5 linked regions of the Sus scrofa genome follow. The main gene of each other region encodes a partner of the protein of the gene in region 2 in a complex. Links are inferred from orthologs where the notes say so. Each region holds a gene or a part of one and is shown on either strand. Other genes may lie near its edges.

Region 1 (2,451 bases), about 24 Mb from region 2:
CGGAACAGGAAGGAAGGTATGGTCAGCAGCAGAGCCAGGCCCCAGGCCATGCCACAGGCCATCCAGGCCAGGTGGGCCCTTCGGAAGTTCTGGCACCAAACGGGGTTAAACACCAGCAGGAAGCGGTCGGCGCTGATGGTAGCCAGGAGCAAGATGCTGGCGTACATGTTGAGCAGGATGAGCGAGGGCAGGATTCGGCAGGCGGCGTCCCCGAAGGACCAGTGGTTGTGCTGCAAGATGGATGCAAACAAGATGGGCAGCGCCAGGCAGGAGAGGAGGTCAGCCACCGCCAGGTTGAGAAACCAGATGGCGTTGATGGTCCGCTTGGCCTCGGATCCCGTCACCCAGACCACCAGGGCATTGCCCGGCACTCCCACCAGGAAGACAATGACAAAGATCACCAGGGCAATCACGTCGGGAGCGTGCAGCTTGAGGGTTCTGGAAGAGGCATCCACCGGTTGGCCAGGGAGCAGGGTCCAGCCATAATTGTAGTAATCAGTGGTGTTATCAACCATGGGGTCCTGCGGGGGGGGGACCAGAGAAGCAGGGAGAGTGAGTCTGCAGACAGGTGGTGGGGGACCCTCAGAGGTACGTGGCTTTGAGCCCAGCGCTCCACATCCTTGGTTAGGCTTCTCCTGGGAAAATGGGGATGCCGAGGGCTGAGAGCCCGCTGGGGTGTCATTAACACTTATTAAAATATTGAAAGCCCTTCCAAGCTACTTTGTCTCCCAGCCCCCCACCCCAATCCCTGGACTTCCCCAGGAACCAGCAAACAAATGGGTAAAACCTAGACCTACAGCAAGACTGTGGTTGTGATCCGCTCTGACTGGTCAGTACCGGGGACCCTGCTTGGGAGGTACCTTTAATGCCTCCAACAGACTGCAATGATACGACTCGGGAGGTAGTCAGCCCAGCACCCCTCGTCACCATCACCACCAGCAACGTGACCTGGTTTGGCTGCATCCCACCCACCGAGGCGGCTCTGCGCTCTGCCTGGGGGCAGCCACCCAGACAAGGCAGCAGGCCTCCTGTACCAGGACAGCATTTAAGGGGTCAAGAGGGAAAACCAGCCTCGAAGACACATAATATCCAAGAGCTCCCGTCATAGTGCAGCAGAAACGAATCCGACCAGGAACCATGAGGTTGTGGCCTTGCTCAGAGGGTTAAGGATCTGGTGTTGCTGTGAGCTGTGGTGTAGGTCCCAGACATGGCTTGGATCTGGCCTTGCTGTGGCTGTGGCATAGGCCAGCACCTGCAGCTCCAATTCAACCCCTAGCCCGGGAACCTCCACATGCCGTAGGTGCGGCCCTAAAAAGCCAAAAAAAAAAAAAAAAATCCTAATGCAATATTTTAAAGAATCAAAATTGATGCCCCCCCAAAAAAATTACAGTAGAAAAAAAATCAAATTAAAAAAAATTTTTTTTGCCTTTTTAGGGCCACACCCACGACATATGGCTAGGGGTTGAGTAAGTGCCCAGGCTAGGGGTGGAATCAGAGCCACAGCTGCTGGCCTACATCACAGCCACAGCAACTCGGGACCCGAGCTGCCTCTTTGACTACACCGCAGCTCTTGACCACCCCGGATGCTCACCCCACTGAGCGAGGCCCGGGATTGATTTGTTACAGCTGAGCCACAATGGGACCTCCCAAAAAGCTGAACTGCAAATAAATTACTATTGTGCAAGGGGAGCCTTCTGATTGGCCCACAGTTTGAAGGACCCGAAGGGTCTTTGTAGGTTGACAATGGCAAGCAGACCTAGTGGGGCTTTATCTGTATCATGCTGTTGGCGTTTGGGGGGAAGTTGTTTTGGGAAGGAGGTTGGGAAAGCTTTATTTCCTTTTTCTACTGGGCTCAGGAAACACTGTTAATCCTGAGATAGGAGCGCACAGGTGCCCTGCCCCGTGTCCCAGGACGACTCAGCACAGCGCTAGGACACAGATCCAGACCCTCGTCCTAGCAGCCTACCTGGCCCTCTCCAAGTGCCACCACTGGTTTTTATGCTGCTCTCTCTTCCTCGCTTAACTCCTGGCAGTCCCTCGTTTCGCCTATCATCATTCCAAAACCTCAGTCTCAGAACAGAGAGAAAATACTTGGGGGCAGCAAGACAAAGAATAAATGGGAGTTCCCATTGTGGCTTAGCGGGTTAAGAATCCGACTAGTATCCATGAGGACACAGGTTTGATCCCTGGCCTCACTCCCTGGGTGAAGGATCTAGTGTTGCCGGGAGCTGTGGTGTTGGTTGCAGAGGCAGCTCGGATCTGGCGTGGCTGTGGCTGTGGCGTCAGCCAGCACTGACAGCTCCGATTCGACCCCTAGCCTGGAAACCTCCATATGCCGCGGGTGTGGCCCTAAAAAAGACATACACACAAAAAAAAAAAAAAAAAGAGAGAGAGAGAGAAATAACATCACAGGGATGAAATTAGCCCAATCACTCTGCAAGACAAAGGGTC
Region 2 (3,500 bases):
CGGGCGGCTGGGCGGTGAGGCCAGGGCTCAGTAGAGGCCACAGCCCCGAAGGTTTTTGGCGATGATGACGTCCGTCACCGCGTCAAAGACAAACTGGATGTTGTTGGTGTCGGTGGCACAAGTGACGTGGGTGTAGACCTCCTTGTGGGCAGACTTGTTCCTGCTCTCGTACTGGGCCTGGATATACGCCACGGCCTCCGTGAAGGTGCTGGGGCCTGCGGGAGAGACCAAGTTTGGGAGCTGGTGAGGTGAGGCCCCCGCTGGGGGACTGGTCAGGCCACGGGCTGGGGAGCAGACACTGGGGGCCTCTCAGGGACAGCCTTTCGGGAGAAAACTAATGGGGTGCCAAACACTCGACAGCTCAGCTCCATCAGTCATGGGTCAGGAAATAGGTCAGTGGACCACATCCACTTTAAAAGCAATGAAGGGAACGAGAAAGCAAACCTCACCTCACTAGGCCTCAGCAGCGTCAGGACTCCTGTTTCCTTTTACAGTGCATCTAAGGGCTCCTGATACAAGTGTTCTCTCTTCCTGTGGGTCCTGCCCAAAGATGTCTGTGCCAGCCCCTGGCTGACGCATGCCCTGCAGGGCAGGCAGAGATGCCACCTCCCTTGGCCACTGCTGGGCAAGGTGTATGGAAACTGTGTGGCACCTGTGAGCCGCCCTGGCCTCCTCCCTCTCAACCCCCTGCCCTCCTCCTCCACCTCACCTCCAGCCCTCCTGTTCTCCTATTCACCACCCAGGGTTTAGGAACTGTCTGGCTGCTGACTTGCTGCCTTCCTTGCTGCCATATTGCTCTGTCCCGGGTAAGGCCAGGCAGAGGCAGTTTGGGAAGGAACAGAACGGGACTCCTGGCTGTGCCCTGAGGCTTCCCTGGGCTTCAGGAGTCTAGGCACGGGCCCAGGCCCAGCTGCCACAACACACTGAGGGAGGAAGAGGGGAGCTGAACTTCACAGCTATGGCACTAAGCTGGGGTGACTCCTGTGCAAACTGGAGGCCCAGGATGAGCATGGCTGCAGCTCCTCGACACAGGGGTGCAGGCCAGCAGGCCTGGCCTTGAGGGTCTACCAGGCCACAGCTCTTTCCTAAATGTGAGCTGGAGATGAGGGAGTGTGTCCTTGGGAGCACATCAGCCTTGGCAAACTGCCTCACGCTGCTTCTGCTGCCCCATGGGCTACACCCCAGGTCACCTACAGCAGGACCCACAGACCCACACTTTATGTACACCTAAAAGGAGGCTGACTGGTGAGTGTGGGGGAGGTTGAGCCCGGCCCACCTCTGGCTGCATGCTGCTTGGGGTCCTGGCCTCTGGGCAGTCATCCTCTTCTAGAGGAAGGGGGACACTCGTCTGGCTTCAAGTGTAGCCCCATGTCCACTCTGGGGGAACTGGGGCTCAGTCTGGAGTCACCCCCAGCAGGCCCACCTTGCTGGGACTCTGCCTTTGTGCTCTCTAGGCCGGGGGTGCTGCTTGGGCTGAGGAGGCCCACTTCTGCCTCCACTCACCTCTCTGACCAGGCGCTGGCCATCCTAAAGAGCCAGCAGGTACCTGGGCTATTCTAGCCACCCTGCTGCCTGCTGGGGGCCCTGGTCAGGCTGCCTCCATCACCCACCCACCGTCAGGTAAACCCGCGGCAATGTTAACAGAGGTGGCCTTCAGCATCCTCAGAACCCTCCGCAGACGGCCCTGGTCGCTCCTGCTTGTGAAGCTCTCTCACATCCAACAGGCCATTTGAATCCTATAACTACCCGTGTGGGAGGTGCTGTCATGATATTTTTGAGTTATAATCCCAGTTATAAGAGTAACAGCAAATGTTTAGTGAGCACTTACTAAGCACCAGCTGCCATGCTAAGCTCTCTAGGTTCTTGAGCTCACTTTGTCCTCCTGGCAGCTCTGGGAGGGAGGGCTGGATAATCACAGTGATTATCCTCATCTCACAGATGTGAAAACTGACGCTCCGAGAAGTTACATGACCTGCTGTGAGTGGCAGAGTGGGGACATGAGCCTGGGGATGCCTGACTCGAAGCCCCTGATCTTAACCCCCATTACCATCTTGGTGTTGCCACTTGACTGATAATCTCTATCTACAGGTGACCTAGGTCCAAGAGGTTGCAGAGATCAGGATCCCAGCCCTGCCTCCCCTGACTAGGAAGCCCCAGCTGGCTGCCCCGGGCCCGCACTACATACAGGACATGATGGGGAAGGGAGGGGCCCGCCTTTGGTTTTATGTTGGCTTCTCCATGAGAGAACCTGGTGCATCCGCAGGGTATGGTAAGGGGGACTGAGCTCCCTCAGGAACTGGTGTGGCCAGAGTGGCTGTGTGGCCCCTGAGGGGCGTGGCAGTCTCTACCTGTGTACTCAGGAAAGCAGATGGTTAGCGGGGACTTCTTGATCTTCTCTTCGAATATGTCCTTCTTGTTAAGAAACAGGATGATGGACGTGTCCGTGAACCATTTGTTGTTACAGATGCTGTCGAAAAGCTTCAGGGATTCATGCATGCGGTTCTGCAATAGAGTGGAGAGTCCAGTGAGGGCTGGTAGTACCTGGGGCCCTGACCCACCGCGGCCAGTAACACAGCAGGACAAGCAAAGGGAAGGTCCACTAATGCGGCTGAACGCACCACCAGGGATGGAGATGGGAGGACCCACAGGACGAGGATGTGGTCCCTGCTGCATTCCACACGCAGGCAGGTGGGGTGGAGCAGGGCGGCAGGGTGGGGAACGCTGCCCTTCCCCTGAAAAAGGCTGACCCGGGAAGGGGCAGCGAGGTCACTTGGAGGGACTCCAGCCCACGGAGAGGACATGCACCATGCACGCAGGGGAAGGGGCCGCACCACCATCCACATGTCCACATGGGACCGCGGGCATGCAGATTTTTCTACTGGGGTCTCATTTGGTTTCGCCAGCAGAGGTGGGAGGGTGCACGCATTCAGTTGGGAGACATTAACCGAGGACTAAGAGATCCTCGAATTAATCCAGAGTTGGAAGCAGACACCAGGAGGACAGCGTCGGGGGTGTGATCTTGCTGTGGCCTTGGTGTGATTGGGGACTGGGTGGGTTTAGCTGGGTTGTGATTGGGCCGGGGCGGTGGGGGGGCGTTCTGAGTGAGCTGATTATTGGGGCTGGTTTCTCAGCAGAGGGGCTGGATGAACCCCAAGATGAAAGCCAGCAAGAGAGATTAAAACAGAGAGGAAGATAAAAACCCAGCAGAAAACATGAAGGAAAGAGAGAGGGAAAAAAAAACCCAAATGGGTTCAACCAGTCTCGGGCCAGGAAGTCAAAGCCGGCCCCTCTGGAGGCCCCGTGTGGCCTCACAGAGGCAGTGGCCACCCTGGGGCTGTGGCCTGCGTGGCTGGAGCTGGAAGGGGATGGTGGGCAAGACCAGCCTAAGCCGAGCGGCTGGTGAGGAGTGTGGGACGTGGGAGTGGGGAGCAGGCATCACAGCAATGTCACCCGGCGGTGCCCTGGGAATCTGCTGCTTTCAACTCTTAGTTGACGGTTTT
Region 3 (3,500 bases), on a different chromosome or scaffold from region 2:
ATTATATATTTGTTAATTTTATTTTATTTCCCTGCAGGTTTAAATGTGTATTTGGCTACTTGGCTACTGAGTAGAGAACACAAAATGAATAACTCCACCAACTCCTCTAACAGTGGCCTGGCTCTGACCAGTCCTTATAAGACATTTGAAGTGGTTTTTATTGTCCTTGTCGCCGGATCCCTCAGTTTGGTGACCATTATTGGGAACATCCTGGTCATGGTCTCCATCAAAGTCAACCGACACCTCCAGACAGTCAACAATTACTTTTTGTTCAGCTTGGCCTGTGCTGACCTCATCATTGGTGTTTTCTCCATGAACCTGTACACTCTTTACACTGTGATTGGCTACTGGCCTTTGGGCCCCGTGGTGTGTGACCTTTGGCTAGCTCTGGACTACGTGGTCAGTAATGCCTCAGTAATGAATCTGCTCATCATCAGCTTTGACAGGTACTTCTGTGTCACGAAGCCGCTCACCTACCCCGTCAAGCGGACCACAAAAATGGCAGGTATGATGATTGCTGCTGCGTGGGTCCTCTCCTTCATCCTCTGGGCTCCGGCCATTCTCTTCTGGCAGTTCATTGTAGGGGTGAGAACTGTGGAGGATGGTGAATGCTATATACAGTTTTTTTCCAACGCTGCTGTCACCTTTGGCACTGCCATTGCAGCCTTCTATTTGCCTGTGATCATCATGACTGTATTATACTGGCACATATCCCGAGCCAGTAAGAGCAGGATTAAGAAGGACAGGAAGGAGCCTGTGGCCAACCAAGAACCAGTTTCTCCAAGTTTGGTACAAGGAAGAATAGTGAAGCCGAACAACAATAATATGCCTGGCAGTGATGAAGCCCTGGAGCACAACAAAATCCAGAATGGCAAAGCTCCCAGGGATGCTGTGACTGAGAACTGTGTCCAGGGAGAGGAGAAAGAAAGCTCCAACGATTCCACCTCAGTCAGTGCTGTTGCCTCTAATATGAGAGATGATGAAATAACCCAGGATGAAAACACAGTTTCCACTTCCCTGGGCCATTCCAAAGATGAGAACTCAAAGCAAACATGCATCAAAATTGTCACCAAGACCCAAAAAAGTGACTCATGCACCCCAGCTAATACCACTGTGGAGCTTGTTGGTTCTTCAGGTCAGAATGGAGATGAAAAACAGAACATTGTCGCTCGCAAGATTGTGAAGATGACCAAGCAGCCTGCAAAAAAGAAGCCGCCTCCTTCCCGGGAAAAGAAAGTGACCAGGACGATCTTGGCTATTCTGTTGGCTTTCATCATCACTTGGGCCCCGTACAACGTCATGGTGCTCATTAATACCTTCTGTGCACCCTGCATCCCCAACACAGTGTGGACAATTGGTTATTGGCTCTGTTACATCAACAGCACTATCAACCCTGCCTGCTATGCACTTTGTAATGCCACCTTCAAGAAGACCTTTAAACACCTTCTTATGTGTCATTATAAGAACATAGGCGCTACAAGGTAAAACATCTTTGTAAAGAAGGAAGGTAGTCAAGAGGAGCTTGAGGAACAGAAAAAGAATGAAAGAGCTCCTAGTTTTAAAATCTCTGCCATTGCACTTTATAGTCTTATTAATGGAATGTGCAATTAAGGAGCCCTACAGTGACACTTATTGTGCCTCTGCTCCAATTTGAGAAACTTGCACCTTATAAACCCTGCCAGTTTAGGAGCAATGAGACCATAAAAGAGACGTGTTGGAATTGTGGATTTAAGGAATGATCTGTAGTTTCTCATACTCTCTTGAAGAAGGGCTTCTGAATATATCATTTTATCTCTGCACACAAAAATAATAACCTCTTTTCTTTTTTGTTCACATTTTTGTTACCATGTGTCCATATGAGGATGAAATGCCACAATTACAACCTAACCTCGAGACTTAAACATAAAGAAAGCCATTATACAATGAAGAAGTGAAGAAAGAAGATCAAAAAAGGGTGTAGAAATGGACTCCAGAGTGTTAATATATATTATAATTTTATTACGGTTTGTGGGGAATTGCAACCTAATAAATGTTTATCTTTCTTTGCCATACCCTTTTCCCACCATCAAAAGAGAGCAAAGCAAACAAACAAAACCAAAAATCTTAACTCGTATCACATCATTATTTTTCTCATTATGGCATTGGTTTTTGTATATTGTGTAAGGGCAAAATCTGCAGGACTTCTGCTAAATACAACCAGAGACAGCCATGCAAAAGGGTGTTTTACTCCTGCGCACTGTGTATTTTGCCTTCTTTGGAGGTATGCAGCCCTGTGAGGATTTAGTTCACATATGATCCTTCATGGGAAATATTTTCACCAATCCAGTTTTCTACTAAACTAGCCTATTATTTGAATATAATAGTCTACCTAATATAGAAACATGCTTGAAAAACCAAAGTCGTTTTTAAATTGAGGTTTCATCAAATTAAATAATGGTCATTCTTGTTGGAGAAAGTTTACTGAAGCCAGATGAATTCTGAGATAAGAAAATAGAAGGTGGAAAGGGCATCATGTTTCCACCTGAATCTGCCTGACCCATGTATAAAATGTTAACTTGTAAAACATGAACTCCTGGTCTTTGTCAGCAGGAAGAAGATGTTGCTTTATTCATCTGGAATCTTAAATAGGATTAAACATAGTCATGTGGCACCAATGACTTTTGGGCCAGTCCCAAGAGAATGCTTACTAAAGGATGATATCCAGTTTAGAGTCCAATGAGATTTATAACCATTCTGTAACCTGTGGAGGAAAAAAAGGAGAGTAATTCAAAAAACTTTCCTGAAACCACATGTTTTGTGTTCCTCAAACTGTCAATTCTCCCTAAAATTTTTTAACTCCAAAATTCTGTCAATGAGAAGTATAGTAATCTTGATGGCAGAAGTGTCATGGATATCAAACAGGCCGAGTGAGCTCAGCAGAATATGAAAGAAGGTAGGTAAAAGAAGGTAGTGGCACTTCCCACTGTTCCTTTAGTTATAGACCTTAGAAAATCATAACAGGAATGATTACCCAGTGGTGGCTTTACATAGACTCTTGTCTATATAGAGACTTTTTATTGGCCAATAAATATATGATTATATTGATTCATATTTAGTTATTTTTACTCCTTGACTTTTTTTCTTACTGTATTTGCTATAGTCTTCCAATAAGTTTTTAAAACACGGCCCAATCAGTAGCAATCAAATTTATTAAAACCTTTTTGAAGTTCATATGTTGCATTTTAGATGTATGGGCTTTAGGATATCTTGACCATTAATATCCATGTGAGGTGCATGATGAACTTGTCAGTATTAGGCTTTAGTGCTTTAATTAGAGTTCTTTTATGTGACTTGCCTCTCAGATGGCATCTCAAAAATTTTGAGAGCTGAAACAAAAAGCACAAGGTAAATAACAATAAAAAAGACAATTAGCAAGAAGCAAATCACCAACATTTGTAAATAACACATCCTTTGTAAAAATAACCTCTCGTTTCAATAACTTCGGTCATTCCCCCCAACCA
Region 4 (3,751 bases), on a different chromosome or scaffold from region 2:
GAGGTGGCTCATGGGAAGGCAAATGGCAGAGGAGAAGAGGTTGGAGGAAGGACCCAGTGTGGATGGCAGAGCTTCGCAGGCTGTACCCCCACCCTCCAACCACACAGCAGCGCCCAGCTCGGCAGATAATAACGCCTCTGGTAGGAGTCCCAGCCCCAAACCGCTCCAGCCTCCAGATGGGTCTATGGCACCTGTTCTCAGATGCTCTTCCCCTGGGCCGGGGAACATCCTCAGAGCTGAGCCCACGGTGGCACCCAGAGACCACCCTGACCCACCGTGGAACCTCTGGCTCAGCCCTGACTCCTTACAGGGGTCCTTGGCTCAACCTGCACCCGCCCCTCCCCCGTAGCACAGGGCCAGGCTCAGCTGTGTGATCTCCGTAAGTCACTGGCCTCTCTGGACCCATCTTTCCACTGGACTCAATCTGTCCGGCCTCCAGCCTGGGTACCGTGGCAGGCCCAGCCACGCATCTGCCTGCCTTTCTTAAAACCTCATCCCCCAACTCACACATACCAACGGTGAGGGGTGTGGGGACTGCGGGGCTCCCTGGACCACGGAGGACAGACGGGGCCCCGGCCAAGGGACAGAGCATGGGGGTCCCGGCTCTCCCGACCATCTGGCCTGAGTCGCTGATGGGCCAAACCGAGGGAGACTGTCCGGCTTGAACACGTCTGCAGCCCCGCCCCCCACACGCGTGCGCAGGCGCCAGGGGTCCGGGTCCTACAGCCGGATGTCTTCGCCACGCGCCGGTGTGATCTCTGTCCGCCTGGAGTCCTCGCTGCTGGCCGAGTCTTCTGTCCTCTTCGTGTCAGTTCCGTGGGACCTGCGCAGGCCCAGCCTGCGACAGGCCTGGGCGGTGGGGGTGGCGTCTGTGGGTGGCTTGGCGTCCCGGGCAAAGCGCACGAGCCTCTGCCCGGCCAGGAAGTAGAGCACGGGGTCCAGGCAACTGTTGGCACTGGCCAGCGGCCGGGTGATCTTGTATGCCATGTTTATGGCATCGAGGGTGTGGCAGCTGAGGTCCAGCGTGCGGAAGGAGTAGTAGAGGGTGCGGGTGACGTGGAAAGGCAGGAAGCACAGCGCGAAGACGGCCAGCACCACGGCGATGGTGCGCACCGACTTGCGCTTGGCGCGCGGCAGGCCTCCGGCGGTGCCGTACGCGGGGCGCAGCAGCCGGCGGGCCATGAGCGCGTAGCAGACCAGGATGACGGCGAAGGGCGCCGCGAAGAGCACGCTCAGCATGACCAAGCTGTAGGCCACGAAGTGGCTGAAGAGCTCGGGGGCCGACGTGTCGTGGCAGGTGATGCGGCCGCCCTGGGCAGTGGTGGTGATGAAGTAGAGCGCGGGCGCCTGGCAGGCCAGCACCAGACCCCACACGGCCGCCGCCACCCGGCGCGCGTAGCGGGCGTGGCCCCAGCGCAGCGAGCGCAGCGGCCGCAGGACGCCCAGGCAGCGGTGCACGCTGATGCACGTGAGGAACAGGATGCTGCAGTACAGGTTGGTGTAGAAGAGGAAGCGCACCAGCTTGCAGAGCGCCGTGCTGAAGGGCCAGTGGTCGCCGCGCGCGTAGTAATAGACCAGCAGGGGCAGGGAGGCGGCGTACAGCGCGTCGGACACGGCCAGGTGGAACATGTACGTGGTGGAGGCGTTCCAGGTCTTGAGGCGGCACAGGAAGATGTAGAGCGCCCCGGCGTTCAGACTCAGCCCCAGCACGCACACCACGCCGTAGCTCAGGGGCAGCAGCACGTACTTGAAGTCCTCGTGGAAGCGGCACCTGTAGCCCCAGTCATCCCCATCCGAGGTGCCGTTGACGGTGCCATTCCAGAGGTCGGGGCCTGTAGCCATCACCCTGAAGGGAAGGGGCCGTGGGGAGAAGAGGAGTCAGAGTCGTGGCCTGCCACAGCCGCCCGACCGGGTCCCAAGCGCCCAGACCCTCCCTGGGTTAAGATACGCCCGACCAGGCGTTCCCATGGTGGCACAGCCGGTTAAGGACCCGGCGTGGTCTCTGTGGCAGCATGGATTCGACCCTCAGCCTCGTGCAGTGGGTGGAGGATATGGCATTGCTGCAGCTGTGGCGTAGGCTGCAGCTGCAGCTTGGATTCCATCCCTGACCAGGGAACTTCCATACGCTGCAGGTGTGGCTAAAAAAGAAAAAAAAAAAATCTGCCCAACTGTACGCAAGGCCTTTGTTGCATCTGATCTGCCTCCTTCCCTGGAGCCCGAGGGCCCGACCCTCGGAACCTTAAGGATGCATGAGATCCGTGAATGTCAGGATGGTGGGATTCCAACACTTTAGAACAGGGGGGTAGGCCAACTACCTCTCAAGGGCCAGATGCAGCCCAGCAGGCTGTTTTTGTAAATAAAGCTTTATTGGCGCACAGCCATGCCCATCTTTTTACAGAGCTGAAAAGTTGTGGCAAAGACCATATGCTCCTCAAAGACTAAAATACTTAACCATCTGGCCTTGGAAAAAAAAAAAAGAGTTTGGGGTCCCTATTTGAGCAGCTCAGGAACGCAGAGTTCTAGATCTAGGGTTAGAGGACTCCGATTCATGGAAAGGGGCCTTTGAGGCTGAGACTGGGTCCACCCCACAGCCAGGGCCCACGGCCTGTTTCTGGCCAGTGGGCAGCCCATTCGTTCCCAGAGGCATGAGAAAGTTCTTTCCTTTGGCTCATCTTTCCACTCTCTGGGGAGGGCCTGGCCCTGTGCCTGGAATTTGGGTATTTGAGGAGTATTTCCAAGGGTCTCCCACTTTAGTCATTCATTCACCTCTCAGCAAATATTTTTTAGGCACTCTTGTATTCTGGTACTTTCTGCATCTGTAAACAGCGGCCCTGCTCCCTGGCCTGTAAGGCTACGAGATGGGCTAGTGACCCTCCTGGAGATTCCAGGCAAGTCTGGGTGGAGGCGGGAGTGGGGACAGCGGGGGACGCCTGCTGTGGGGCAAATCCAGCTTCTCTTCACACTGTCACCACCTTGATCTTCTCCTTCCTCGTCCCTCGTGGGCGTGTAACACACCCATGGGGCCTGACCGGCCCATCAGTGAGCACCTAGGGATCAGGATGCCACCTGCCCTCTCTGCCAAGGGGACCAATAAGAGCTCTCTCCGCCGGGAGGCTGGGGACAGATATCCCAGCCTGGAGGCAGAGACGGTCCTGGGGGGCTTAGGGGGGCAAGATTGGGACAAACACAAAGAAATACTTCCTAACAGTGTGAAGAGCAGAGGGAGCTGACATTTTTCAACCCCCCCCCACACCGAGTGCCTGATGAAGGTCCCTTCACTCGATCCCTGTAACTCGCTTCCGGGAGCCAGGTCCTTGTGCCCACTTTTCGGATGGCAAGGCCAGATGGATCATTCAGGCAATTTGGCCCAGGTCACGGGCCTGGGGTGGGCAGCCATTCCCATCTGGGTCCATGCCACGGTGGAAGGGGCTGGAAGAGGAGGCAGAGACCCCTGCTTACGGGAGTGGGCAAGCGGCTTTCTAGCACAGCCTGCAGATGGCACTGTGCCTTCCGTCGCTGTGTCTGGGAGGGGAGAGGGCAGATGACGTGGGAGTCCCCCCACCCCGTGAGAATCTGGGGCTGTATCATTCCTTTCATTCTGGAACCTGGGATCCTGTGGAGCCAGCGACATCCACTCCCTTAGACAGCGAGCCTCCTGTCCAGCCTGGGAAGCAGCTCAGGGCCCAGGAAGTCAAGATCGGGGGTGGGGGGGAGGACACATGGGTCCCTCAGGTCATTTCTTTCCCCATAA
Region 5 (2,114 bases), on a different chromosome or scaffold from region 2:
TCCACCCAAGTTCGTAACCCCCCTAAGTTGGGCTGGACTTGCCCCCTTTCTGAGTTGACTCTGGGCACCTGGGGGAGGGCCGGTGTCTGCCCCCCACCCCGCGGAGCCCAAGGGTTCCGTGCCCACCGGCACTGTCCTTATCAGGTCCTCCTCCCGGGCCCCAGCCCCCTGGCCCCGGCCTCGGTGCAGGAAGCTCCTTGGCCCTTCCCCCCAGCTCAGCTTCAGGCCCCACGCCCCTGGAGGCGGGGGGGGAGGTGGCGGGGGGAATCACAGCTGTCCTGGGGGTGGGGGCTGGGGCCGATACTCTCAAGCCTAGAGTGAGTCCTGCACAATGCCATGCCACGCTACCAAAGGGGTTCCCCCCAGGGGGGGGCACTGCCAGGCACGCATCTCTAGTTAGGACTAAACCTGTTAACCACTGCCCCCGCCTCTGCCCCCCACCACAGGTTCCCCTCCCCAGGTCCCTGACTGAGGTACGGGGGCTTGGCCACCCCCACGAAGTCCTCGGGAATCAGCACCAATAAAAAAATACACTTTACTGTGGACTCTGGGGTCTGCAGGGCAGCACAGCAGGTATGGGAGCTGGGCATGCAGGGCGCCCACTGGGTGTGTGGGATATGGTGAAGCAACCCCTCTGCTGGACCCCGGCCCCTGTCCCCTCCCCTGACAGCCCCAGGGGACTCTGACAGCAGATGGGGCGGGAGGGGCAGCCTTCCCGACGACCAGGCGGCCAGGCTCCAGCCGCTCTCAGAGCCTCCAGTCCGGCCCCGCACCCGGAGCTGGGGGCGGGGTGGGCAGAGACAGCTGGCACTGCTCGGCCGGAAGCAGCAGCACGAGGAAGGAGGGCGTGGGAGCCCACACCTGCCAGTCCAGCCCTGAGCTCCTCAGCAATTTTCTCTCTCTTGATTAAACATCCAAGGAACATCAAGTTCACGGACGCGTTTTCTCCTTCTCCGTCTTCCCTGAAACTCCCAGGATGGAGAAGCGAGACGTGCCAGAGGCTCCTTGGTGGGCATCTGGCACTTTGGGTCACAGAAAGTTGGCAGAAAGAGGGATGAAGGGGCCTGGCCCCGGACTTAAGCAGGAGACAGCAGCGAAGCTAGCGTCCGGGGCTCGTCTGGGACGAGGCGGGTGTGCGGGGGTGTGCACGTGCGGGGCCAGGGCACCAGCTCTGGAGGCTTGGAGCACACGCCAAACGCTTGCTCTGGGAAGATCACCAAGCAGTAACTGCGAAGGGTGGACACCACTGGCCATCGCACTGTCCGTGGGGGGTGGACAGAGTGCCTGGGACCCCTGGGTTGGCCCTCTGGGGCAGAGCAGGACGGGGGCAGCCACATCCTGGTTCGGGCAGCGAGGGCCCTTCCAGACGGCCCACCGGGCTGCCTCAACTGCCAGCGGAAGGGATGAGAGAGGCTGCCATGGCCTTGAGGGTGGGCCGGAGACAAGGCATGGCTCAGCCCTGGGGGCGGCCAGGGGGCGGGGGGCGAGGCCCGGCTGCTTGGGAAGCCAGGACCTGGAGGGGGCGGCAAGGGAGGGCCTGTCCCCCCACAGCCCAGGTGCCCAGGGAGGCCGGCTCACTTCCAGCAGTGCTCCAGGGAGCTGTGGGGCTGGAGCTTGAGCTTCTGGGGGCAGAGCAGCTTGGCGAAGGCTCGGCGGAAGCTGTAGTGGCACAGCGGGTAGAGGACGGGGTTGACGGCCGAGTTGGCCCACAGCAGCCAGAAGGACGTCTCGTACCAGTAGTCGGGGACGCAGCGGCCGTGGCAGGCCGCCCGGATGATCATCAGGAGTGTGTAGGGGGCCCAGCAGAGCCCGAAGATGCTCACGATGACCGCCAGCGACTTGGCCACCTTCTTGTCCCGCGAGAGCCGGAAGCGCTGGGTGACGCTCTGCGACACCATCTTCATGCGCTTCTCCAGGGACGCCGAGGACGCGGACGGCTTGGAGCCCCTCTTCAGCGAGCGCGGCCGCTCCGTGCCCCTCGAGGAGCTGCCGGAGCTGGAGGTGGGCGAGGCCGCGGCACCCCCTCCGCTGCCGCCGCCGAGGGCCGCCTCCCTGGCCTCGGTGCCCGGGGCCCCCTCGCCGACCCCGACCCCACACCTGTGCAGCGGCACAGC

What was found. Proteins that work in one complex are often made in the same cells at the same time.
Region 1: the proteins of GNAO1 (region 2) and C5AR1 are in contact, whole or in part, in a cryo-EM structure (PDB 8JZP), measured with the Homo sapiens proteins. The link is inferred for Sus scrofa from reciprocal best matches to the Homo sapiens genes GNAO1 and C5AR1. Residues at the interface, in NP_066268.1 of Homo sapiens: Ala31, Lys32, Lys193, Asn194, Leu195, Glu318, Tyr320, Phe336, Thr340, Asp341, Ile343, Ile344, Ala345, Asn347, Leu348, Arg349, Gly350, Cys351, Gly352, Leu353, Tyr354; in NP_001727.2 of Homo sapiens: Asn71, Phe75, Arg134, Leu137, Val138, Pro141, Ile142, Gln145, Ile225, Thr229, Arg233, Ala234, Thr235, Arg236, Ser237, Lys239, Thr240, Val243, Val244, Ala303, Gln305, Phe307.
Region 3: the proteins of GNAO1 (region 2) and CHRM2 are in contact, whole or in part, in a cryo-EM structure (PDB 7T8X), measured with the Homo sapiens proteins. The link is inferred for Sus scrofa from reciprocal best matches to the Homo sapiens genes GNAO1 and CHRM2. Residues at the interface, in NP_066268.1 of Homo sapiens: Lys24, Ile28, Ala31, Lys32, Leu195, Tyr320, Asp337, Ala338, Thr340, Asp341, Ile343, Ala345, Asn347, Leu348, Gly350, Cys351, Gly352, Leu353, Tyr354; in NP_000730.1 of Homo sapiens: Asn58, Arg121, Cys124, Val125, Pro128, Leu129, Thr130, Pro132, Val133, Lys134, Thr136, Ile209, Ser213, Lys214, Ser215, Arg216, Ile217, Arg381, Lys384, Val385, Thr388, Ile389, Cys443.
Region 4: the proteins of GNAO1 (region 2) and P2RY2 are in contact, whole or in part, in a cryo-EM structure (PDB 9K20), measured with the Homo sapiens proteins. The link is inferred for Sus scrofa from reciprocal best matches to the Homo sapiens genes GNAO1 and P2RY2. Residues at the interface, in NP_066268.1 of Homo sapiens: Ala31, Lys32, Asp33, Val34, Leu195, Gln305, Glu309, Glu318, Ile319, Tyr320, Cys321, His322, Met323, Val334, Phe336, Thr340, Asp341, Ile343, Ile344, Asn347, Leu348, Gly350, Cys351, Gly352, Leu353, Tyr354; in NP_002555.4 of Homo sapiens: Asn66, Ser68, His130, Arg131, Gly134, Val135, Pro138, Leu139, Leu142, Arg143, Met221, Arg224, Leu225, Ala229, Tyr230, Gly231, Thr232, Ser233, Pro237, Ala239, Lys240, Lys242, Ser243, Arg245, Thr246, Leu308.
Region 5: the proteins of GNAO1 (region 2) and HRH3 are in contact, whole or in part, in a cryo-EM structure (PDB 8YN7), measured with the Homo sapiens proteins. The link is inferred for Sus scrofa from reciprocal best matches to the Homo sapiens genes GNAO1 and HRH3. Residues at the interface, in NP_066268.1 of Homo sapiens: Ile28, Ala31, Lys32, Asp33, Val34, Lys193, Asn194, Leu195, Asn312, Pro315, Asn316, Lys317, Glu318, Ile319, Tyr320, Phe336, Thr340, Asp341, Ile343, Ile344, Ala345, Asn347, Leu348, Arg349, Gly350, Cys351, Gly352, Leu353, Tyr354; in NP_009163.2 of Homo sapiens: Asn69, Asp131, Arg132, Ser135, Val136, Ala139, Val140, Tyr142, Arg143, Ala144, Gly147, Ile221, Ile225, Arg228, Arg232, Thr345, Phe348, Arg349, Arg352, Val356, Leu360, Cys415, His416, His417.

The regions. Positions count from the first base shown.
Region 1 is NC_010448.4:53,107,162-53,109,612, reverse strand, and holds part of C5AR1 (C5a anaphylatoxin chemotactic receptor 1), read right to left. Parts: intron 522-2,451; coding exon 1-521.
Region 2 is NC_010448.4:29,428,875-29,432,374, forward strand, and holds part of GNAO1 (guanine nucleotide-binding protein G(o) subunit alpha), read right to left. Parts: intron 2,503-3,500; coding exon 2,349-2,502; intron 216-2,348; coding exon 28-215; 3' UTR 1-27. UniProt on the Homo sapiens protein: Guanine nucleotide-binding proteins (G proteins) function as transducers downstream of G protein-coupled receptors (GPCRs) in numerous signaling cascades.
Region 3 is NC_010460.4:12,457,315-12,460,814, reverse strand, and holds part of CHRM2 (muscarinic acetylcholine receptor M2), read left to right. Parts: intron 1-37; 5' UTR 38-84; coding exon 85-1,485; 3' UTR 1,486-3,500. UniProt on the Homo sapiens protein: The muscarinic acetylcholine receptor mediates various cellular responses, including inhibition of adenylate cyclase, breakdown of phosphoinositides and modulation of potassium channels through the action of G proteins.
Region 4 is NC_010451.4:7,691,110-7,694,860, reverse strand, and holds the end of P2RY2 (P2Y purinoceptor 2), read right to left. Parts: intron 1,847-3,751; 5' UTR 1,843-1,846; coding exon 721-1,842; 3' UTR 501-720; downstream 1-500. UniProt on the Homo sapiens protein: Receptor for ATP and UTP coupled to G-proteins that activate a phosphatidylinositol-calcium second messenger system. The affinity range is UTP = ATP > ATP-gamma-S >> 2-methylthio-ATP = ADP.
Region 5 is NC_010459.5:61,622,365-61,624,478, forward strand, and holds the end of HRH3 (histamine H3 receptor), read right to left. Parts: coding exon 1,575-2,114; 3' UTR 501-1,574; downstream 1-500. UniProt on the Homo sapiens protein: The H3 subclass of histamine receptors could mediate the histamine signals in CNS and peripheral nervous system. Signals through the inhibition of adenylate cyclase and displays high constitutive activity (spontaneous activity in the absence of agonist).